Linked DNA regions of Arabidopsis thaliana. The protein of the gene in region 1 interacts with the protein of each later gene in a pairwise test. Each region holds a gene or a part of one and is shown in the gene's direction. Other genes may lie near its edges.

The links.
Region 2: the proteins of AT5G62610 (region 1) and AT2G14760 interact in binary tests that used the Arabidopsis thaliana proteins (3 or more experiments, as listed by UniProt).
Region 3: the proteins of AT5G62610 (region 1) and AT1G09250 interact in binary tests that used the Arabidopsis thaliana proteins (3 or more experiments, as listed by UniProt).
Region 4: the proteins of AT5G62610 (region 1) and AT3G06590 interact in binary tests that used the Arabidopsis thaliana proteins (3 or more experiments, as listed by UniProt).

The regions. Positions count from the first base shown.
Region 1 is NC_003076.8:25,131,124-25,138,183, reverse strand, and holds AT5G62610 (basic helix-loop-helix (bHLH) DNA-binding superfamily protein), read left to right. Parts: upstream 1-2,118; 5' UTR 2,119-2,185; intron 2,186-3,277; exon of another isoform or gene 3,278-3,303; 5' UTR 3,304-3,583; coding exon 3,584-3,883; intron 3,884-4,198; coding exon 4,199-4,405; intron 4,406-4,487; coding exon 4,488-4,553; intron 4,554-4,634; coding exon 4,635-4,703; intron 4,704-4,774; coding exon 4,775-4,852; intron 4,853-4,941; coding exon 4,942-5,067; 3' UTR 5,068-5,336; downstream 5,337-7,060. Other genes in the region: AT5G62620 (Galactosyltransferase family protein), read right to left, coding at 1-69, 163-1,048; MOS14 (ARM repeat superfamily protein), read left to right, coding at 5,711-5,833, 6,404-6,481, 6,573-6,635, 6,862-6,909, 6,997-7,060.
Region 2 is NC_003071.7:6,319,932-6,325,739, reverse strand, and holds AT2G14760 (basic helix-loop-helix (bHLH) DNA-binding superfamily protein), read left to right. Parts: upstream 1-2,342; 5' UTR 2,343-2,427; coding exon 2,428-2,904; intron 2,905-2,984; coding exon 2,985-3,266; coding exon of another isoform or gene 3,267-3,281; exon of another isoform or gene 3,282-3,385; coding exon 3,386-3,490; intron 3,491-3,627; coding exon 3,628-3,693; intron 3,694-3,804; coding exon 3,805-3,900; 3' UTR 3,901-4,153; downstream 4,154-5,808.
Region 3 is NC_003070.9:2,987,002-2,992,136, forward strand, and holds AT1G09250 (basic helix-loop-helix (bHLH) DNA-binding superfamily protein), read left to right. Parts: upstream 1-2,139; 5' UTR 2,140-2,507; coding exon 2,508-3,131; 3' UTR 3,132-3,426; downstream 3,427-5,135. Other genes in the region: AT1G09245 (Plant self-incompatibility protein S1 family), read right to left, coding at 1-366. UniProt on the Arabidopsis thaliana protein: Atypical bHLH transcription factor probably unable to bind DNA. Negatively regulates brassinosteroid signaling.
Region 4 is NC_003074.8:2,051,180-2,058,071, reverse strand, and holds AT3G06590 (basic helix-loop-helix (bHLH) DNA-binding superfamily protein), read left to right. Parts: upstream 1-2,405; 5' UTR 2,406-2,759; coding exon 2,760-3,425; 3' UTR 3,426-3,429; exon of another isoform or gene 3,430-4,383; 3' UTR 4,384-4,993; exon of another isoform or gene 4,994-5,072; 3' UTR 5,073-5,325; downstream 5,326-6,892. Other genes in the region: GALK (Mevalonate/galactokinase family protein), read left to right, coding at 6,205-6,367, 6,564-6,739, 6,851-6,892. UniProt on the Arabidopsis thaliana protein: bHLH transcription factor that binds DNA on specific sequence 5'-CANNTG-3' in target gene promoters. Negatively regulates brassinosteroid signaling.

The DNA.
Region 1 (7,060 bases):
TAGACTCTTCTTCTTTAGATGTAATGCTATCATCCCGAGCCCATTTCTCGCACTTAACCTGACCATCAACTACAACCATTCTTACTAATTAGTATCCCCAACAAAAACACCAAGAAAAACAACAGATGAAAGATAAATGCTTTTGAACATATCTACACTAACCAGTCTCTTCATCATCCCTAGATCTCCATCCTTCACATCTTTGTGCTGAGCCCCATTGCATTCTATAGCAAGTGTTCTGCTCAATCACAGGCTTACCACTCCAATCACCCTTAAGCCTTGGATTCAAGTGGAGTATCCGAGGTGGCTCTTCTCCTTCCACTGCTTTCAAACCCTGAAGCTCCAACTTAAACTGTGAAACCTTCACAGCTTCATCTCCTTCCTTTAACATCGATATCTTAGGGTCCTTCTCCGAATGAGCAGCTCGTGGCTTCCCAACCACTGTAATATGTGACCCAAGAGTTAAACCACATGGAAGCTCCATGATATTCCCACGTTTCAAAAGATCAGACCCGGTTAAGGAAACAGAGAGAGAACACGAGTTTGTCCCATGTTCCTCAATCTTCTTCTTCTTCTCCTTCTCCAAAGCTTTCAACGTTTTCCCAGACTCAAGCTCTTCCCATATCTTTCGACCAACTTCCCAAGCTACCTTAGCAGATTTATGAAGCTCCACAGACCCATCTTTGCTACTCGGGTTAAACGTTTCCGGGTCGAATCTCAAACTAGAAAGGATCCGAGTCCTTCTTCTTAAACCCTGAGCCGGTGATTCCGATTGTGATTCCTGGTAAAGCAGACTCTTTAAAGGTCGAGTCGGAGCTCGTCTCTCTTGTAACTCTCTCTGACTATTGTGCTTCTCGGGTCGGGTTAACGGATCCTGAGATAAAGAACTAAGCCCGGTTTTGAAGACGAAAGGGATTTCGAATGTGATAAGAAGCATGTAGAGTAACCCAACCGCCATTAGTATCTGAACCGATCTCTGCTTGCTTAGAGAAACGAAAATGTCGAATTTCTCTAACCTCTCGAGTTTTGACAACTTGGGCTTCCTCATTCCTAAATTATACGAAGAAAAATCCAAACTTTTTTTTAACTGGAAACAGAAAACCCTAGTGATGATGATCAAAGAGGAACAGAATCTCAAAATTCAAAATTTCAAAAAACAAATAAAAATCAAATCTTGAGAGATTACGATGAACGGAGACAATCAGTAGATTGGTGGGTTACTATAAATTCTGAAAAACCCTTTGAACACGAAGAGAGAAAATTCAAGAACTTTCTATGGAAAAGACAAATCTTTAGTGAGAAAATTCAAAACCCGAAAGAAACGTAAAGTCGAAAATTTAAATCTTTAGAGAGACGTGTAAAATCGTAAGATGAACAGAAACGCGTCAGGAGAATTTGGAGAAGGAAGCAGCAAGGGGAAGAGTTAAAGCTCTCTCCTCTTTCTTAGTTAGTGCTGCTGACGTCTGAATAAACCGCCGTTTTGGTCCATCTCTCTCTCTCTCTTTTTCGAATCTTTTCTTCGCTTTTAAATCTTCTCTTTTTCCTTATTTTATTTAGTTTTCGATTAAAGTTATAGATTCGTTGGATTTATCTTTTCAAATTAAAGTAATTTTATTATTCTAGATGATTATTTCCACCACCAGTAGAATAAAAAGGAAAAACGTTATGTTTTTGTCGAATTTTAATCTTATAATTGAAGTAATAAGATTTTTAAGGTTAAGCAAATCGACCAAAAAAACAAATCGAAAAGGTTGTCTTGATTACACGAGACAGAATGTGAAATTATTAGTTAATTAGTACTATATGATTTATAAATTAAAAAAAAACAATAATAGTAGATGGAATCATATGTATTTGATTGTTTAGTAGATATGATTCTTATTTTGAAATTTAAACTATTATTGATTAATGTCTACTTAGTCGGTGCTAAATCGGCCAACTGTGTCATTCCATCACCAATGAAGTCACATAGTACTCCTATGCTCATGTTTTTATTTTTGACTTTTCTCTCTATTAATTTTCTTAATTTCATGACCAAACTGAAATGAACAGAAGAAATTGATAACAAAAAAATAGTGTTTCTTGTTTTTTTATTAGAGGTATCTTGATGAGTAGAGCAAAAAAGCTTTATGGGAAAAATGGAAAGAGAGGAATTGGGCTTCATGTGTGACACCTTTGCATCCAGGTGTCTTCTCTTTCTACACTTGTCTTTTCCACCTTTTCATTATTTCATCAAAATATAAACATATTCCACTTAATTCGATAATAAAATTAATAATTAAAAAAGTTTTGCAGAAAAACATCAATTTCTAATTTGTTGGTCTTTAAACAATTTTCTTGCTACACATTTAGAGCATTCAATGCTATAGAATTGACTTTTAAAAGTTTTAACTCAGTGAATAGTTTTAGAGCTTTTTTGTTTGTTATATACTGTATTCTTAAAAACGTTTGATATCTCTGTATTCATCATTCAAAAATACAAACTTTTATAATAAACACAACAAATGAAGGTTGAAATCATCGAAACGAAAAATGACACTCTTGGCTCCTTGTATTTTTCCGCAACTACCTTGAACATGTCATCTACCAAAAAGGCTAAAACTACATTGAACATAATAAAACTATAGCTTCTGAATTTTTAAAAATTTAACGTGAAGAACGTTGACATGCAAACAAAAAGACTAAAACACATGTCATCTATCCTTCATATTAGCGTTTTATATATTTAGCTAGAATTTTGGCTTTTGTGATTAAGCATTTAAAATTTAAATATATGGCCCATTGTCACATCCTCGATCGTATCCTACGTACCGGTGTGTGGTTCCCTTCACTTTACACAACTAACTTTCATAAAACATATGACTATGAAGTGGGAGATCTATGTTAAATAAAAAAACACTAATTGGTGAATATTATTGTAAACATAGGCGATCGAGTACTTACTAGGATGGACATATGGTACGAAGATCAAATTTTTAATCCAAACATATACGTTTTTTCCTTAAACACGTCAGAATGAAATTACCAAAGTAACATGATTTGGTTTTGCTAGTATGTATTTTTTTCTAAGAGAGATGCATTGTCCTTTGGTGTATTTAAGTTGTTCACAGTAAAATTACCAAAGTTGTTCACAGTAAAAAATAATTTAATCAAAGGATAACTAAAAGACATAATTGTGAGATTTTTATTTTTTATTTTTGATAGAAATTATTTAGGTTATTGCGCCATAATATATCTTTTCTATTCAATTTTGTTTCTAAACGAAACGAAAATTTTACCATTGTAATATTTTTTTTATAACAGAAACGGCAAAATATTTGATGTAAGCTGTGTAATTAATGAGATTTTCTGAAAGTATTGGTGATAAATCATCTTCCATTGCATACTAGTGGCGCATTATCACTACCCACATCTGTCTTACCTTCTCCGATCTCTCTCTCTATTTGTCCACCTCACACACAACCCTATAAACAAGACAAGACCTCGCAAAGCTCAAACCTTTTCCTTCTTTTTTTCTATCAAGTTCCTCACTTCTCGGATCCGGGTCCTAAATCTGGGTCAACCCTTTTTACGATCATCGGAAATGGACCCTCCACTAGTGAACGATTCCTCCTTCTCTGCAGCTAATCCTTCTTCTTACACTCTCTCCGAGATTTGGCCTTTCCCTGTAAACGACGCCGTTCGCTCTGGTCTCCGTTTAGCTGTTAACTCCGGTCGAGTCTTTACTCGCTCTGAACATTCCGGCAATAAAGACGTCTCCGCGGCTGAGGAATCTACAGTCACCGATCTAACTGCTGGCTGGGGAAGTAGAAAGACTAGAGATTTGAACTCTGAGGATGATTCTTCAAAGATGGTTTCTTCCAGCAGCAGTGGTAATGAATTGGTGAGATTTTGCACTTCAATTTTTGAAAAGTCCTGATTTTTATTTGTTGGGTCTTTTGAATGTTTGAATCTAGATCCTTTAGCTTGGTGGTGATCTAAAAATCAATGAGTCAAAGTTTAAGTCTTTGGTTTAGGGATCAAGGATTAGTTTATAGATTAGATGACTTATCTCCATTGACTTTTTGACTTAAGTTGGATTCAGCTTGAAGACCATTAGTTTGATAGATGTTGGAATGGTCAATGCTTACTTAGTGATCTTAGATTGAGAGTTTGATTTAGGATCTTAAAGCTTTCCATCTGTTTACTTTTTTAATAGAAAGAATCAGGGGATAAGAAAAGAAAACTGTGTGGATCTGAAAGTGGAAATGGAGATGGTTCGATGAGACCTGAAGGCGAAACAAGTTCGGGTGGTGGTGGAAGCAAAGCAACGGAACAGAAGAACAAACCTGAGCCACCAAAGGATTATATTCATGTGAGAGCAAGAAGAGGACAAGCTACTGACCGGCATAGTTTAGCAGAGCGAGTAATTCTTCTGCTAAAATCACCATAAATTTTATCCTCAAAAACTGTTCCTTTTATTAGAATCACAATGTTGTCTTTGACAGGCTAGAAGAGAAAAGATCAGTGAGAAGATGACAGCTCTTCAAGATATAATTCCAGGATGTAATAAGGTACATGTTCTTTTGGTCCCTGCTTGTGAATGATGTTATTATAGCCTAAAAAACATTCAACAAGATATTTCTGTTGATCAGATAATCGGAAAAGCCCTTGTGCTCGATGAGATTATCAATTATATTCAGTCATTGCAGCGGCAAGTTGAGGTAAAAGTCGTTAACACCTCTCTGTTATATGTTACAATTATACATGCCTAAGCATGGAGTTTGGTCTGCAGTTTCTATCAATGAAGCTAGAAGTTGTTAACTCGGGTGCAAGTACTGGTCCGACAATAGGAGTTTTTCCTTCCGGTGATGTAAGTCCCAAATCTAAAAGAACATAGAAAAATCTTATCTTTCTTAATCAAAGCTACTAAATCTAAAAGCTCTTGGTGTGTTGTATCAGCTCGGGACTTTACCGATTGACGTTCATCGAACAATATACGAGCAACAAGAAGCTAATGAAACCCGAGTATCTCAACCGGAGTGGCTCCATATGCAGGTTGATGGGAACTTTAACCGAACCACATAAAAAAGAGTCTTTCTCTGATTGATGGATGTGTTTTGTAGGCAGTAAAAATGAATGCAACCCTTTATTTTTTATCCTATGCGTGTGTATCATTTTGCTGTTATATCATAAGATAGAATATGAGAGTGACCAGAGAGATTAACACTTTATAAAACATTGTTGTATTGTCCTATTATATAACTTGTAACAATTGATTCAGTAACATATGTTGGTCTTAAATCTTGTCCTTTGTATAATCTTTATGTTATGATGAATCAATGATACGTTTTTTTTGTTGTCTTCAATTTATTGCAACAACTGAAAAAAAGTAAACAACTTCTGTCTTCAAAATAAAAGAAGAAGGATTTGACTTTAAGTCAAAGTAATTGTATCTAACGGCTGAGATTCTCTCTTCTTCATCCTCTTTCAGATCAAAATTCGATCTCTATCTCTCTTCCTCACTCAAGTTGAGGGGCGCCAAAAAAAAACCTTTTTGACAAAGAGGGAAAAAAAAAGTTTTTATTTTTATTGTTTTTGTTGGGCGAAATCGATTTGACAAAATCCCGAATTTCAGTTGGGCAAATTCTTCTATTTCTCAATCTGGGTCTTTCTCTCTGGTCGTGATTTGGTGACCGTACGAGCGAATAACGCGTAAAGATTCATAGCTATGGAGCATCAGAACGCGGTCAAAGAAGCCCTAAACGCACTGTATCATCACCCGGATGATACAGTGCGTGTGCACGCTGATCGCTGGCTTCAGAACTTCCAAGGAACTCTCGATGCTTGGCAGGCGAGTTTTTTCTTTTCGATTTCAATTATTTAATCTCGATTTGTTTAGGTTCGATTTGTTCTTCCTTGTTTTGTAGCACTTGTGCTAGAGTTTAATGTTCGATTTTCAGCTACTGTAGACCATATAGGTGCATAAAGTTTCATCCTTTAGTCAATTTGTATTAGTGATTTGCTCTTTAAGGTCATATAGGCTTATGCATAGCAGAAATCTCAAAATTTCAGTACGTCTAAGTTCATTTCTGAGTTACTTTAGACTATATAAGTGCATAAATTTTCATCCTTTAGTCAATTTGTATTAGCGATTCGCTTGTTAAGGTCATATAGGCTTATGCATAGCAGAAATCTCGAATTTTCAGTACATCTAAGTTCAATTGTGCACTTTTTCCTGTAGCTGGTTTGAGAAGTATGTGTAAGGTGTGTGAATAGATTTACCTTGTTAGAGAAACGATTAGCTAGGTTTTATATGAGCTCTTTTCTTTTAGACCCATGATTGTTGTTGCGGAGAAGAGGATTTTTTTTGATGGAGAAGTTCTACAATATTTCTTACTCTGTGCTGTTGTATGTTTTCTAGGTTGCGGATAATTTACTTCATGATTCTTCTAGCAATTTGGAAACTTTGATATTCTGTTCTCAGACCCTTCGAAGCAAGGTAAATGCACCTGAATGTTTCTGTAAATCCTTATTCATTTATCACACAATCTTGGAGCATTCTGGTGACATCTAGTCTGTCTCACTCGAAGGTTCAACGAGATTTTGAAGAACTACCACCTGGGGCTTTTCAGAAGCTACGGCAATCATTAACGGTAATTCTTTGTTCTATTAACTATTTCTTCCAAAGTTGTAGGGTTTCATGAGTTATTCATTAGTATGTCTGTTCCTTTGAGCAATAACATAATAGGAAAACTCAGTTGAACTAGAGTATTCTGGGATCTAGGTTTTACTATGATTTCATCTTTCTGGCCTATTATTCTTGGTATTGGACAATTACTTCCCGGAAAATTTTGACTTTCATTATTTTCTCAAATGCAGACATTGTTAAAAAAGTTCCACAAGGGCCCTCCAAAAGTTAGGACCCAGGTAAGTGCATATGTGGAATTTTCTGTTGTGCGTATAAAGTCATGTACTTTGTGTCGAGTTATCTTATTTAAGTATTTTATATTGTAGATTAGCATTGCTGTTGCTGCCTTGGCGGTGCATGTTCCTGCGGCAGACTGGGGAGATGGTGGTA
Region 2 (5,808 bases), on another chromosome or scaffold:
AAGTGCATTTTACTCATCTAGGTCATATTGTTAGGTTTACAATTAACACGCAAATTATTTTAATATTTGTTATGTATTTATAATTTCTAAGAATAAATATATATATGTGGTTTAGAAATTTCACTGAAAATTAGCTACTTGTTAAATTGAAAATTTGTATATTTTTCGAATGTTAATTTTTTTATAACTACTTAAAAAAGAAGAAGGTTTACTTTTTTTTTATTTTGGTATAAGAAGAAGAAGGTTTACTTGCATATTACTACCCGTTTTTTTGATCAAAAAATACATGTTTTATGTCAGATCAAATCTTGTACAAGATGAAAATTTTGACTACTCACTAAACCGTATTTGTTTAGTTGTTTACCATTCAAATCTGTCGCATCATTTTTACAAAATATGGTAACCATTTTCATTATCCATATTTAATTACTTTGAAATAAAGTGTATATTTGATAAGAATGGGTTATAGCATTTCCACGCGCACGATCAGCCGTCCGTTCATTGACTTAAACTTAATCAAATTTGATTGGTTTTTTTTGTCAGCTTATAATGAGTCATTAGTTATTTAATTTACATTTGATTAATGCATAAAATAATTACTAATATCAACAATAACTGTCACGTTCAACAACCGAGTCTCTCATTCTCATTTCTCCCCTTCACACCTCTCATTTTCGTTCCCCTGAAAACATTAGACTTATTTAAAAACTCTTGTTCGAACTCACTCAAATTTATGGATGGAACTTATTCAAAGTGGTAGACTATATATTAAGTATTTACATGAACAAAATAGTAATCATTTTTCTCTAATTGGAGGATTAATGACTTCGATCCTTTTTTTTTGTCAAACAACTTTCATTCACTATTAAACTTTAAACGAGAGAAGTTCATACAAATTAAAACTAAGATAACATAAAGAAAATAAAGATAGAGGCTCCATAAATTTTCCAATGCTCACCAACAAGAAGTTTGCAAAATTTGCAAGTCTATAGACTAATGACTTCGATCCTTAGTCTATAGACAAGCACATTACCTTACATTAGCTAAAAATCCGAATAAAATTGCACATTTCCTTATCTTATCATACATGATGACCTTGGTTAACATGTCTATTGGATTATAGCTTCTCAAGATATTTGCATGCATCAACATTCCATCTTTCAAAGTTGGTATAATGAAGGGATATATATTTTCCTCGGCCATGATCCGGCTCTTGCATACCAATATAGTCACTTCGCACTTGATAGATCAACGATATTCTGTAATTTTAAGTCCGAACAAAATTTAAGACTAGCAAAAGTGTAAAGCCAACAATATAAGATTGTCTTATTGTTTTTTTTTTTTTTTTTTATGTTATCGGATTGTTTTTTGTCAACTTAATTTTCTAACTGCTTTCACCACAACGACCGTAACTAGTAAGAGAATTGTTTTCTTCTTGTAGACTTGCTCAAACAAATCCTTAAATGCAAAGGTATTCTATATATACACCAATTATGAATTAAACATCCGTATAAGTCCATGCTTTTGGGATCGATACATCACAATGATAATTCTCCTAGTTATTTTTTTTCTTACATTCATAACAATATATACTCACGTCACAACTTGACAAATCTATGATATTTTGTTACTTTGAAACCCAACAAATTTTTGTACCACTAAAAGTGTAAACATATTTTGGTATAAGATTATTTTTGTTATTTGAGTCTTCTTTGTCATGTTTGTTTTTGATATTATGTTTTATTTTTCAACTTGGTATTCTCTAACCGTTTCCTCCAACCACTAAAACAAATTGTTAACCGTTTTTTTAAGAACTTGAACCAATCATAGCGACTGTAACTAGAAAGAGATTGTTTTTCATATTTTAGACTTGCTCAAACAAATCCTCAAATGCAAAGGTCTTCTATACATCAATTATAAATTAAACATATGTATAAGTCCCTGGTTTTGGGATTGATACATCACAATTATATTTTTTCCTAGTTGTACCTTTTCCTTACATTCATTATTTTCTTCACAACTCTATATTATTAACATAATAGATACAGTTGAACCTGGATTTATCTCCCCTCCAAGGATTTGTATAGGTCTGATCCTCTTCTTTTTGTATTGAATTACCAATGACTAAATACAGATTTTAACTCATGCTTAACAGATATAGAGAAAGACAAAGCTTTCTTTAAGCTCTATAATTAGCTGTTCATATCTATGGGTATCAAGACCTGGTTACCCAAAAAAATACTTTATTCTAAAGATGGTTATAATGTTTTATTGGTTGACATTTAATTATATCCATTACTTCTCATGATCCTATATATAATACACACATCAAACTCCTCTCAATCATTCCTTCAATACTCTCACATTACTTATCGGATTTTAATTAAGATTAATTAGTCTATTGTTAAAGTCGCTTAGTGATCAAAAATGGAAGCCATGGGAGAATGGAGCACCGGCCTAGGCGGAATATATACAGAGGAAGCTGACTTTATGAATCAGCTCCTTGCCTCCTATGAGCAACCTTGTGGCGGTTCATCTTCAGAGACAACCGCCACACTCACGGCCTACCACCACCAGGGTTCTCAATGGAATGGTGGCTTTTGCTTCTCTCAGGAGAGCAGTAGTTATAGTGGTTACTGCGCGGCGATGCCACGGCAAGAAGAAGATAACAATGGGATGGAGGACGCGACAATCAACACGAACTTGTACCTTGTTGGTGAAGAGACAAGTGAATGTGATGCGACGGAATACTCCGGTAAAAGCCTCTTGCCTTTGGAGACTGTCGCAGAAAACCACGACCATAGTATGCTACAGCCTGAGAACTCCTTGACCACGACCACTGATGAGAAAATGTTCAACCAATGTGAGAGTTCAAAGAAGAGGACGCGTGCCACAACAACTGATGTAAGTTGTACAAACGTTTTTTTTTTTTTTCAGCCGAAACCATAATTCTAAATATTTTAATGTTCTTGAAACCAAATCAGAAGAACAAGAGAGCCAACAAGGCACGAAGGAGCCAGAAATGCGTAGAGATGAGTGGCGAAAATGAAAATAGCGGCGAAGAAGAATATACGGAGAAGGCTGCGGGGAAGAGAAAGACCAAACCACTTAAGCCGCAAAAGACTTGTTGTTCGGATGACGAATCAAACGGTGGAGACACTTTCTTGTCCAAAGAAGATGGCGAGGACTCTAAGGCTCTCAACCTCAACGGCAAGACTAGGGCCAGCCGCGGCGCGGCCACAGATCCTCAAAGCCTTTACGCAAGGGTAATTTACACATAAACTTTAAAAATTAAGGCTTCGATGTTATTCAAACATGTACACAAATGTGATGATGAGTCTTATGTATATGCATTGTACAAACATAACAAAATTTATTATGATAGCTGAAACAATTAAACAAAGTCCATTGTATGATGGTGCAGAAAAGAAGAGAGAGGATAAACGAGAGGCTAAGGATTTTGCAACATCTCGTCCCTAATGGAACAAAGGTACATATGTCTTTCATTCATGCAAACCTTTTTTTTTCCATGCAAACTTATTTATTACTACGTAACCACATCACTTTTTACTCATTTCGTTTCATGATTACTAAGTAAATTAAATGTGTTAAATATGTATGTATCAGGTTGATATTAGCACGATGTTGGAAGAAGCAGTACAATACGTCAAATTTCTACAGCTCCAAATTAAGGTACGTTAGGTTCTCAATGCTTATAATATAAATTAAACCATAGAAAATATTGTATCAATTAAAGATAGAGAATTAAATATTGGTTATAATGAATAATGTTATGTTATACAGTTATTGAGCTCTGATGATCTATGGATGTATGCGCCTATTGCTTACAACGGAATGGACATTGGCCTTGACCTAAAACTCAATGCACTGACCAGATGATTCAAGAGACACCTTCGGATTTTAATTCTATTTATTTATATATATATATATAATTTAATACTAGAGATATGAAGAGTCACATTTTGACGTTTTATACTCTAAATATTATTTTATATTTGTATGTCGAGTTATGTCCAACAATTTTTTTGATTCTTGAGATATATATTGGTGTACGATCATCGTTTTGATAATGGATTCGTTTATTTTATCTCTTTTTTTTGTTTGAATTATTTGATTCGTTTACGTCATACACGTAAATGATGTAATCAGAATTTAAATTAATACTAAGCGTTCAATATCTTTGGATTGTATGCTTGAGAATTTTATACTCATAGGATACAATTTGGGACTTTAATTATATTTCTGATATTGCGTTCAAAAATCGAATTTTGTTATATCTAATTTGATCTTGCGTTCAAAGACGTGACAAGGTCAAAAGTTGAAGGCAGGAAGAGCCGACAGGTTGGTCAATGATTTGACATTGTTTCAGAACTTGGTATATAAGATGAATGAGTTCCCAAACCCTAAGATTGATTAGTAAAATATCTTTTGAAATTAAAACTTATCAACAACATAAAAACTCTAAAAGTCTCTCATGCGCTGACACATCAGCTTTTTTAAGTGTTCTCAGCATGACACCTCATTAAAATCAACAACCAATCAGAACATTTCGATTAATACACCTTATTTACGTTGACCAATAAAAGCTTACCATTTTTCTATGTCATCTCATCTACTTAACAAAATTAAAATTAGATATGGGTCTAACCCAACCAAACTACTTTCAAAACTAAAATCTATATAAAAACATGGGCCTAAAATTTCTTATCAAGAAAACTTAAGCCTAGGCAAATAAACTGAACCGAATGTACCAAACCGAAACCGATGCAAAAAAAACTAAACCAAACCAAAAATTTGAAAATAACCAAACGGATATTAAATTCTATAACCGAAAGAACCAAAACCGAATAGTTACAAATCAAAATATTTTGGATAACCGAAAATATCCGAAATATAATATAATTATATTTTCAAAAATATTAATTATTTATAAACTAAATAATTAAAAGTTATTTAACAGTAGAAATACTCGAAATACCGAAAACATATAAAAATATCAAAAATAACCAAAATATGCGAAAATATTCAAAGAAAAATAAATGAATGAATTTTAAATTTTAAAACCAAAAGAACCGGAACGGAACCAAAACCGAACCAAAATTTAAAAATAATTGAATGGATAATAAACTTTATAACCGAAAGAACCGATAACCGTATGGATACGAATCAAAATTGAATGGATAACCGAATGCCCATGACTAAGAAACCTTATCTAAAGGCCTGACTGGTTGAAACGCAGCAATTCGGTTGCGACTGTAGGAGTTTACGGAATCGGACGGTTGCAGTTTCAAGCGTTATAAAACATTTTGAACGACTGGTTTAGTAGTTAAAAATTGGTGCGTTTTCGGGAGCTTTATGACTGGTTAATGGATTTACGTTTAGGGTAGGAATATTCGGGTTTCTGTATTTGTCAGAAAAATTACGGATTTACGTTTTTGGTGGGAAAATTATGGATTTACGTTTTACAGCGTTTACGGTTATGAATACGGGAGTTTGTGAAAGCGGACGGTTGTAGTTTCAAGTGTCATGAAATATTTTGAACCACTGATTTAATGGTTAAAAATTAAAGCGTTTGCAAGAGTTTTATGATTGGTTAACCAGGAGGTGCTATTATGGTTAAACTAAAAAGAACAAAAAAATTATAATTAAAATATAAAATACCAAAAATATTATATTATTATGATAAATGAAAATCTTAAATATAACTAATAATAAAATAAAATTCTTCCTATTTATTCAAACTAATTAAATTTTATACTCAAATATGCATTTGCTTCATAAAAAAAA
Region 3 (5,135 bases), on another chromosome or scaffold:
TATAAGGTAAATTCTATCTTTTCTAGCAATCCAATTACGGATAGCACCGCATCGACGAACGTTGGCCATCATGTATGCTATAAATTCTGAATAATATCGCATGTATAAGCCGTGTTTCAAAATGCAACTCCATCTTGTTCTTTTTCCTAACTTGTCTCCGAATGCGATTTCTTTATATTCATTGAATTGTAAATTTGCGACGTCTAGATTGTGATCTCTTGAATGACAATGGTATTGAAGAACTAAACCGGGACCAAGCTCGTTTCTAATTAGAACTTTATTTTTTGGACATGGGAACATGTCAAATGCTACATTCAATCCAAAATATGTTACAACAACAAACATAAAAATTATAAAACGATTCATTTAAGAGTAATTTGAGACTCCAGTTTGAATTTGATGACATCAATAATGCATTATATATAGTTATTAGTGTGTTAGTATTTTCTTATGGCCTTAACTAAAATTAGTTAAATTGAAACACAAACATGAATTATTAATATATAGGTATTGCCGAAAAAAGTATGGTTGACCAATCCCAATGGATTCAACCTTACAAATCATAGGTGATCCACAAACATCTAACTAAAACCAAAATATTTAAGATATAACAAAAAAATCTTGCAAGTGTACTATTTTAACAGGACAAGTGTATCTTGTAATACGGAAGATTTCGAAAATTTGAACTCCCGATTTCAACATAACAAAATAACATCTGTCCTCGGGCCTATACAGGCCCAGTAAGTCTAACGATAAATGAGCCTTAATGGACTAGATTTAAAACTTTATAAAGGGGCCAAGGCGTTCACAAACCCAACAGTAGGTACAGAAGGCTCCTGGTAATAACTGAAAAGCAACGCAACCACATAGCAAAGACAAGTTACTTGATCCAAGAGAGCTGTTTCCTTTGTGTGATGTTGTTCGATTTTGACCTCAGTGTTTATGAATTCCTGAGTAAGATCTAGTCTTTAACTTCCCCACCTTGGATACTGTATTCACGAATGAGCATGTTTTTGTTCCTTGGGAGATTCCATAATTGGTCTGATGCATATAGACATGTGTTTTTTTTTTTTGGTGTCATATGTGCGCTGTGAATCTTGTGATATTTTAGAATCTAAAAAATATACACGCACAAGAAAAGCTTACGACCACATATATCAATGGGTTCCAGTTTAAAAATTTGGTGAGTATTATTAAGAGAGTCGGAGAAGAAATATTTGAGCGTGGTTAAAATATTAAGAAAAGGAAGAGACATGGAGACGATGTCTCAATTAAGGGGGCAAGCCTCTCTGGCCAATTACAGAGAAAAGGGCCCTTTTAGATTCTCTTCAAGATCTTCTTTTTTTTTTTCTTGTTTTTTTTGGTATAAATCACACATTTACTACAAAAATGCACTTATAATATTTAGTGTCAACTCATAATTGCTAAAACATTTCTCTCGTGTTTTCCATAGCAAGGTGCCAAAAACGAATTGATCAAGAAAAGTAAATGTTTTACATTAGTTACTATAGAATTTAGATCATGGTTTGTTTAAGATTTAGAACTTGGTGTAGGAACTAATAATTCCCTCGTGATATATGACAAATTGACAATGACATTCACCGTTACGAAGGATCGAATTTTGTCAAGAAAAAATATTTTCTAAACTATGGTATGAAGACAATATACATATACTACTCATTACTCTTGAATTTTATTTTTGTTTTTCCTTTGTAGACTACTCATTACTCTTTAGATTGAGATATCAATTAGAAACATACAAATCACACACAAAATAGTGGGAAACGGCAAAGGAGAGAATTTGTTGGCGGAAAATTGTCCACAACATTACAAATGAGTAAAGGTCACACAAAAGAGATCCTTTTTTCTCATATGGCAGCGCCATGAAAATGGTCACATGGAATGCTTTTTTGGTAAATTTTCTTTTCTCTTTTGCTTATTTCACTCTCTGAGTGCTTTTTTCCCTTTCTCTGCTTACCTTTAAAATAAAATAAAACCACATGAATTCTACCGCAACCACTTGAAACAAAAGATTCAACATCACCCTTTATTTCTCAACTTATCAAAAATATATATATCAATCGTCTATATTCTTTGACCTTTGGAGTTACAATGTATAAACATAGAAAATATATTTGCATCGCTCAGCATTTTGACTATTAAAGGGCATAATTTTGGAGCTTCATGCCAAGGCAAAAAGATAAAGAACAATCACATGAATGACAAAAGATTAAAAACAAAAGATTTTTAACTAATGAAAAAAAACACAAAAAACAAATACCGGTAAATAAGGGCAAAAGTGGAATTAAGTGTTATAGCTCCGCTGGCGATTGGCAGAGATATAAAAACTGATCTCTCTCCATTCATCTTCTCTTGTTTCTAACTAGTCACATTGAGAGAGAGAGAGAGAGAAAGAGAGACTCTCAGAATCTGAAGAAGAAGAAGAGATTGTTGTTTTTGCCTTTTATCATCGGTTTCTTTGAATCTCTGGTTTTAAATCGGATTTAATGGTGGAGTCTCTGTTCCCGAGCATCGAAAACACAGGTGAATCGTCTCGAAGAAAGAAGCCGAGGATATCAGAGACGGCGGAGGCGGAGATAGAGGCACGACGTGTCAACGAAGAAAGCTTGAAGAGATGGAAAACGAATCGTGTGCAACAGATCTACGCTTGTAAGCTCGTCGAAGCTTTACGCCGAGTTCGTCAGAGATCTTCCACCACCAGCAACAACGAGACCGATAAACTCGTCTCCGGCGCGGCGAGGGAGATACGTGATACGGCGGATCGAGTTCTAGCTGCGTCCGCTCGTGGTACGACTCGGTGGAGCAGAGCGATTTTAGCGAGTCGCGTCCGAGCGAAGCTGAAGAAACATAGAAAGGCGAAAAAGTCAACGGGAAATTGTAAATCGAGAAAAGGTCTCACGGAGACGAATCGGATTAAGTTACCGGCGGTTGAGAGAAAACTGAAGATTCTTGGCCGTTTGGTTCCTGGTTGCCGGAAAGTCTCTGTACCGAATCTTTTAGATGAAGCGACCGATTACATCGCAGCGTTAGAGATGCAGGTTCGAGCCATGGAGGCTCTCGCCGAACTTTTAACCGCAGCCGCACCACGGACGACGTTGACCGGAACTTAACGGCGGCAGTTAGTTTGTCAGTTGTTAATTAGCTTTTCTTTTACCTTTTTACCCCTTTATTTTGGCTTCAAGTGTTTTTTTTTTCTCGTCGACGCGATTTTAATTTATTAAATTCATGTATTTTATTTGTATACATCATCACTTCTTTTTTTTTGTATCCATTTTGATCTTTCTTTGTTTTTTCGTTAGATAATCAAAGTTATCTAAACAATAACAACAACAAAATGCCAACTAATGTCGATTCCAAAAATTGTTTAACGCTTTAAAAAAAAATTAGACCTACAAATTAAAGAAACTAAAAAGTAAGGAGAAGAACAAATAATTTGCAAGTTGAAGCAATTCAAAAATGAGCATGTGCGTGTAACGTGTTGAGGACACCCACCTTAATTTTGGGGCCAATGGACTCCATGTGATTCTCAAAGACTTTTTCCGACGTTGAAGTTTATGTCGAAAAGTGTATTTTTTGCTCAAAATGCCCTCAAAATCTTTCAAACTGATTAGAAAAAAACATTTACTTGAATGTCAACATTAATTATGATAACAAGGAGTAGCATACGACTCTTCAAGAGAACTGACATTATGAAAAATTGATGATTATGGTATAAAATACAAGTTAGTAAAAGTTAGTTGTCAGAAGAAATCCACTAGGAATAACATTGAAAGAAGTGGTGAGCAAAAAGGACCACAAAAATGGAACCAAAAGAAGAGGAAACAATAAGATTGAGAAATGAGTCTCTTGGAACATCTTTTTTCCCTCTTTAAGACTCCCCACGTGTGCTCTTTCTTTTAACACCCAATATGTCTTTCAAAAGCATTCACACCTTTTTGTTGTATATCAAATTAAATGGCAACATGTTTGTGGGTCATTGTGTCTTCCAAGTTATATAAGAAGATTTCTCACAAAATCCATCTTGATAAGTCCTTGGATCGAGCTTGGAGGATGTGCTATAGGTTTTAAATATATATATTTTAAGTACATGTTAGATGAAACTTAAAAAAAACTAATTTATGGTTGTATTTCAAAGATATTTGTCAACTGAGATAGATAGGTTATCCAAATGTCATCTATCGACATACTGCATCTTTTGTCCTTTTCTAGTTTTCTTAATACGGCTGATATAGTTTTAGATAGTAATGTATTCATTCACATGATATGGTTTTTGTGAAGAAAAGCGGAATTAATAGTGAGGCAAATATGTATAGGTATGCTTTTGTTAATTAAATAATATAAATGCATCGAATGATAGCTACAAAACAAACGAAAAGAAAAAAGAGGAAAAAAAGAAGAAGGAGAAAATGTGGAGTTGGCCATATGTGGCTAAAAGGTAGACCCAATGTGATCACATGCAACCATGTGACTCCAATTATGAACCTCATATGTGAATGTGGCCGAGGAGATGCCAAATTTTCAAGAATCTCCTCTTTCTACAACGCTATTTACAAACAAAAGCAAACACTAGTTTTACATTTACAGTCCATACTTATCGACTCGTAAAAAACAAAACAAGAAAAATACAAAATTATCATCTTATTCTTACCTTGTGTTTGAGTTCCCTAATTCCACCAATACTCCTCACTTTAACGTTATGGAATCCGTAGAAGAGAAGGAAAATGCAATCGGTTCAACCGGCAGAAAAGACCGGACCAGAATGTTGAGTAGTGGAAACAATGGGTCCGACGATTAGAGAAGCAAACAAAAACCCTCTTCGACAAAATTTAATTCAACAAATACTGTCATCCATATCTTTTCTTTTCATGTACGTTTGATTATACACGTAAAAGACTTTTGCGTGGTGTAATGAGATGGAACACGTGGCAAGACAGCATGCACTCGCACATGTACTTAGTCAGACAGATTTCGTTGTCTTTGAACTGTGCTCGTGTTTTCTCGCATTTCCGCACGTGGTCTCAAGTCAACCATTATCCACTTCAACTCCTACGATTTTGTTTCTATATCACTACCTCCATACATATAACCAAATTTTGAATGTTACTATTAGATCG
Region 4 (6,892 bases), on another chromosome or scaffold:
TGGATTCCCACTATAGATTTAGGAGTAATTATTTTTCACGTGTATGATGAAAAGCTGGTATTAAACCTAGGCAAATCATGGGTTGGAAATTCAGCTTTTCGATTCACAACAAAGATTGTCATTGGTCAAGTAATTGTCACGTTTGCTCAGTGTTGTTGGTAAAACAATGATGGCAACTTAAGAGTTAGGCTTCCAAATGCTTATAAATTAGTGTACGTAATCTAACAATAATCATATTTCTACTATTTAAACAGGATTTGGCTGCTATCACTGTGAGAAACCAGGGACAAAAAATCAACTACTTCTGATGAAGCGAAACACATAGAAGTTGGAAATATCATTTGAAAAAAGAAAAAACTACACAGGTTAGTGTTTTCATATTTGCCTCTGAAAAGTGTTGTTAAGTTGATGTTAAATTTACCAAAAGACTATTAATCATTTCATATTAGCAATCCAAAATAGACCCGTTGAAAAAACAATGATTGAGCATCATCATCTGTTAATCTAATCAATACTTCCCTTTTTCTTCCTTTAAAAAGAAACTAGTCCTTCTTCTTCCATTGTCTGTCGTTCACTTAGTTTATTTGGTGTCTAGAATTAGGGAGGCAATCTCTGTGCCACCTTCATCATACTTAATAGTTAGTTTTCCTTTCCTTATCAACTTTTTTCATTAATATAATAAGAAAAAACTCATTACATCCGAGATACATAATGATTTGCAAATAAATTTGAAAACCTTAGATAGCTGGAATTATGATTTACAGTAGTAAATTTTCATAGTAACAAATTTGAACTTCCAATCCGAAATATATTTATTTCTATTAATGGAAGATAACAATTACAGCCAGCAACCTTTGTGATACATGTTTTTTTTGTTGTTGTTGTTGAAGTAGAGCCCATGAGAATTACGCAAATCGCAGATTCGAATAGTGGTTTCTTTGACTCAGTTCGTAAAACAGATAATTCATTAGGTTGCTTTGTTCTTCACCAACAAATTTTCTGCTTGATTCTAAAGTATAAATTGAGAAAATTTAAGTATCTAAATCGAAAATATATTCTTAAATTCGAAGTAGATAAACTATTTTATTGTAAGTGACACTTTAGTGAATAATTGGATATGTTGTTTCTTATCATTAATTTGTCATGTGGAATCATTCTAGCTTATAACTTTCTAAGGTACAGAGAATATGCCACGTTACTGACACAATTATTAACCCTTAGCCCTTAGGTTAAATGAATACTATTATCTATGAAGCATTGCGCATTGCGCTCTGTTTCTAACATCCTTTCCACCCGCCTAAAAACATCTTAATACAGTATATATACCATTGTGGTACTTTTATGTCTAACATAAACTAAGATAGGTATTTTCCATTTTAACTGCTGATCAAACTCAACATAGTGAACAGTACAAACAAAAATCAAACTAACAGTAACTTTTCTAGAAAATTAGTTTGAACGTAGCTAGCTTTATTTATATATGAATTAACCCAATGGAGAAGTTCAGAAGCTCCTTTTTTCAGCAGGATATATGAATAAAATGACGCCACTCCCTTATACTTTACCCAACAATCTATTAATCTTATATCTACTTATACATATACACAAAATTTAATGAAATTTTATTCATACATATTGATAGATACACATACAAAACTTTTTTTTGATAAAATACAGGAGTTAATTTCAGTGATCTTTTCTTTACAGGGAAAGAAAAAAAAGCCGTAAAGAGAGGCAGTGCCACTAACCCTACATCGCACATGCATTTCGTTTGGTATATTACTTTATGCGTAAAGTAGTATTTTAAATACAATTCCAATATTTACGAAATCATTGCACTGAATACAAAATCCAAAGTTTTGAGTTTTTGGCCCCTCTCTTTTTGCCCTGTCAGTCCATTAAACGACCACTATAAGTCGTAAATGGATTTCTCCAATAGTAATATGACACGTCATCCTTTCGTTTGAATCTACCTTCCTCCTCCATTCCACCAAAGTATCGGCCTTTATACAAGTTTGTTTGTTTTCTCTTTTCGTAAACATCTTTAGATATCAATAAGCTAATTTAGTAATTAAGATTGTACCCTAAATTGATTGGAAACTATCGTTATGGATGCTCTACCCACATTAGGATCTTTGTAGCATTTCTATTATGTATTTTACTCTCTATTTAGATTATGTCTACAAAAGATCGAAAACTCGTGATTGTAAGAAATTTTGTATATAAATTTCTTTCTAAAATCTCTGTCAAGAGGGTAAGTTTAAAAAAATAATTGTGAACTAATCAACGTGGAACAAAACTTTTTAAGTATAATCATAATTCATAAACATTGCTTCAAGTCACAATGATGTCTCTGTCTCTCATTATTCCAAAACCATTAGAGGTTATAGAGCCAGTTAATTATAACTTATCAATTCCACTAGTGTTGAGAATGAAATTATTTGTTTCTTGGTGGTATTCACGAATTCTCTTTATCATGCATTACAAATGCCACTTTCGTATCTGGCTAAAACAACAAATACTAAAAAACAAATTGACAAAACGACGCCGCTTATTAACTGCTACATCTAAAACGGGGCCGTTTGTTAACTGCTACGTCTCGTGATAGTTGATACCTCTCTCCCTTTATATATCTTCCTCTTCTTCTCCCTTCCATTATTCTCCACAATTTCATAACTTTCTTCCGCTCAACTTCAGATAAATTCGGATTCTGTAGCTCTTTCAATACGACTGCGGAGATCAGAGCCAATTATTTGGTTATGGCGTCTCTGATCTCAGATATTGAACCGCCGACGAGTACTACTTCAGATCTCGTTCGGAGAAAGAAGAGATCCTCTGCTTCATCCGCCGCATCGTCTCGTTCAAGCGCATCTTCCGTCTCCGGTGAGATTCACGCGCGATGGCGATCGGAGAAGCAACAACGGATCTACTCAGCCAAACTGTTCCAAGCGCTCCAACAAGTCCGCCTCAACTCTTCCGCCTCAACATCATCATCTCCAACGGCTCAGAAACGAGGAAAGGCCGTCCGTGAAGCCGCCGATCGAGCTCTTGCCGTTTCCGCTCGGGGAAGAACACTCTGGAGCAGAGCGATCTTAGCTAATCGGATCAAACTGAAATTTCGTAAACAGAGACGTCCTCGAGCTACGATGGCGATTCCGGCCATGACTACGGTGGTTAGTAGCAGCAGCAACAGATCGAGAAAACGGAGAGTGTCGGTGTTGAGATTGAATAAGAAGAGTATACCGGATGTTAACCGGAAAGTACGTGTTCTAGGCCGGTTAGTTCCCGGTTGCGGTAAACAATCCGTACCGGTGATTCTAGAAGAAGCAACTGATTATATTCAGGCTCTGGAGATGCAAGTGAGAGCCATGAACTCTTTAGTTCAGCTTCTCTCCTCCTACGGCTCAGCTCCTCCACCGATTTGATGAGGTTAAAATCGTCTTTTTAATTCTACCATCTCTCGATCTTTCACAGCTTATGTGTATATAGAAGATTCGGTTTGATTATAATCTGTAACTACTCTTCCCAACCGCTGATTCTTCTCTGCTACAAGTAAAAGTAAATTTTGAACCGAGTCTTCCCATTTTTACGATCCTCAAGTCTAAATTAAGTATATGATTGATTAATAAAGTCTTTACCATTAGGGTTCAAATCGTAGTTGGATTATTTGATTTAGATTGATGAATTCGTTGTTGATCAAAAAAAAAATAAGATTGATGAATTCGTTATTGGAGTTAGTGGGAAAATGGGTTCCTCTTTTAACCTCATAGTATGTGATAACTAAACCAATATGGAACTTTTGATGTACTTTTAGTTCATTCAATATGGCTTTGTACTATATCATCTTATGTACTATATGAAATTTCAACATGAAATAGATTTGTACTGCAATAAAGTGGAAAGAAAATAATTTCCCATTTAGAATTTTAAAATACATTATAGTAGATGTAGGAAGATAATGGGTTAACTTTAGTTTTGATTATGGTAGCATGTGATGATGCATTAGAGAATGAATGGAATGATACATTCAAATTCATTGAATTGAATGATGACTGATGAGATTGATCTGTCACTCAATCATCTACTCGCTTTATTGCCCCTCCTTTGAATCCCATTTTTGATACTTATAGGTTGTTTGTCTTCTTTTTCTTTTCTTTTCCTTATTTCACAAGAAATATAAAGGAAAAAAAGAAGAAAAAAGATTAAATTAGCTAATAATTCCCTGTTACTAAATAAGTTTTCTCAAACACTAATCTGCAGTTCTGCACGTACTGTATATCCTTCAATATTCATCACGAAGCAAAACTGAATAACCTGTAGTTAAAATTGACTTAACAGGAGTTTGATTCATTAGCTTAATTAATATACGAATTTCTGTGATAGGGATATGATTTAAGAACACTGGAGTATGACTAGGCGACAACAAGAGACAAGTGACGACAAAAGCAAAAAATATTTAAAACATAGAGAGAAGTGACCTTAAAAGTATGAGGAGGCACATGGGAGTGGCCATGCCTTTGTCCTCTTGTTTCTTTTTAAGCCTTCTCTTATTAACTTGCACGACAACTCTTTTCATCACATATTTCATAAGTTATATTATTATTGCCAAAAGGGACAAACTATTAGAGAAAATAAACCGCAACATTGTAGAAGATTGGATTAAAACTCGCCAACACACTATTAGAGAAACTTGCCCAGATAAAATTATGTCCATGTCGAACACAGTTATAACCAAGGAGCCTAATTCCCAAAAAATGATTTTTATATTTGGAAACCATCCATTGCAGATACTCCTGGAGGTTTCTCCTAGTCTTCAGTGCCGAAGATTTCACGACAAAAGAAGACTTGAAAATCTCGATACTCTTTTGCGGAACTTTCCCACCGCGACACAAAGAGATCACTCCACAGAGATATGAGGCAGCTTTGAGTCCTTTAGACGCGGCTTTTGCAAACATTCGATCCCTTTCTCTTCATCAACAATATTACTGAATAGGTAAAAGCACTTCACAATTCCTTCACGAGCCACTGCTTCCGTGTTTCCGCTCTCTCTGCATCTCTTGAGAAAACTCTAGCTTTAGTTATAGGTCATCGTTTGCGGTTTTGATTTCGTCGAGGCAGACGTGTTCGAGAACTTGAGGGTCGTTGCAGAGATTATGTAATGATTTGCATACGAGGCTGAAGTTGAACAAGCTTGAGTGAAGAAAGAGCCACGCGTGGCAAGATCTCCTTCACAACCACTTCTTCTGGGAGAGACTCCATTTTATAGTGATTTGAGAAATGATATTTTAATTTAGGGTTTCAACTTAGACGTTTGCTTATTAAATTGTGTGAATAAATAAATATATATATATATATATATATATATATATATATATATATCATTAATAAATAAATAAACGATAAGAGTAACCTTAAAAATCTAGTTGAACCCTAAACCCTATGGCTAATATATACAATGTAATATATTATTCCTCTAATCATCTTTTAGAAATTTTTTATTATTTTTAATTTACACATAAATCAATATCTTTTTCAGATATAGTTTTATCTACATTGTATGTAATACCTCCATGTTGCTACACGTTAACACTTGCATATTTGTTACTCAATCTAATTAAGCAGGAATTAAAAACAACGGTTAACCGGAAAACTTTTACTATTTATCCATTCAGTATTATCTTATAGCTCAAATTACTTTTAGTTTTTACATATAGGATATAACTCTCACACACGTAAAATACGATTAAATTTAAATTCAAACTAGGACACTTATCTAATCTAGTGTTATCTGAATTCATAGAGTGTTAGAAGAATTAGGAAACGTTTTTTAATCAATAACATCATTTTTGGGAATAATATGTTTATCAAATATAAACCTACCCAAAGAAAAAAAAAATCACCAACAAATATAGTACGAATTAAGATTCATAAACGTGTTCCGGAATCCAAAAGATCGAAAGTTTTGGATAAGTAAGATATTCACAAATATTCATTTTTAAAATTCAAAATATTCGATAAATACAAGCGATCTTCCGGAACAGATCTTAAATACGATAAACAATTAATATATTTTAGAAATAAGATCGGTGGCAATTAATAATTATGCTCTAGCGAAGACGTTTCGTGATAACTGTGAACATTAGAGGTTAAGTGACGACAAGTGATCGAGAGAGACAGAGAGAGCCAAAAGGAGAAACTACAAAAATGGCGAAACCGGAAGAAGTATCAGTCCCGATCTTCACATCTCTTGAGCCTGTCTACGGCGAAGGATCTCTGCTCCAAGAAGCTACACAACGATTCGATGTTTTGAAGGCCAATTTCAACGATGTCTTCGGTGCTTCTCCCCAACTCTTCGCTCGCTCTCCTGGTAAATAATCTCGGGTTTTTGAATTTTTGCAAAAATTGGAATTTCGTTGACTTTGAGATGAATTGGTTTCTAATTATTGTATCGATGTCTGCAATTTTGGTATTTGGATGATGACATCAGATGATCTTCTGTTTGGAATTGTTGGATATGATTGTGAAAATAGATGGTGAAGGTGTTTGTTATATTTTGTGTGTAGGAAGAGTGAATCTGATAGGAGAGCACATTGACTATGAAGGATACTCAGTGTTGCCGATGGCTATTCGTCAGGATACAATTATAGCGATTCGGAAATGTGAGGATCAAAAGCAGCTTCGGATTGCAAATGTTAATGATAAGTACACTATGTGTACATATCCTGCCGATCCTGACCAGGTAATGTATCTGTGTTGCATTCTCCTGTTTGTCACAGACAATATAGTTGAGATCCTGGAGTCCTAGAATACTACTGGCTTACTTTACTTATCGTACGTGTTAATTTTGCAGGAAATTGACTTGAAGAATCACAAATGGGGGCATTACTTCATA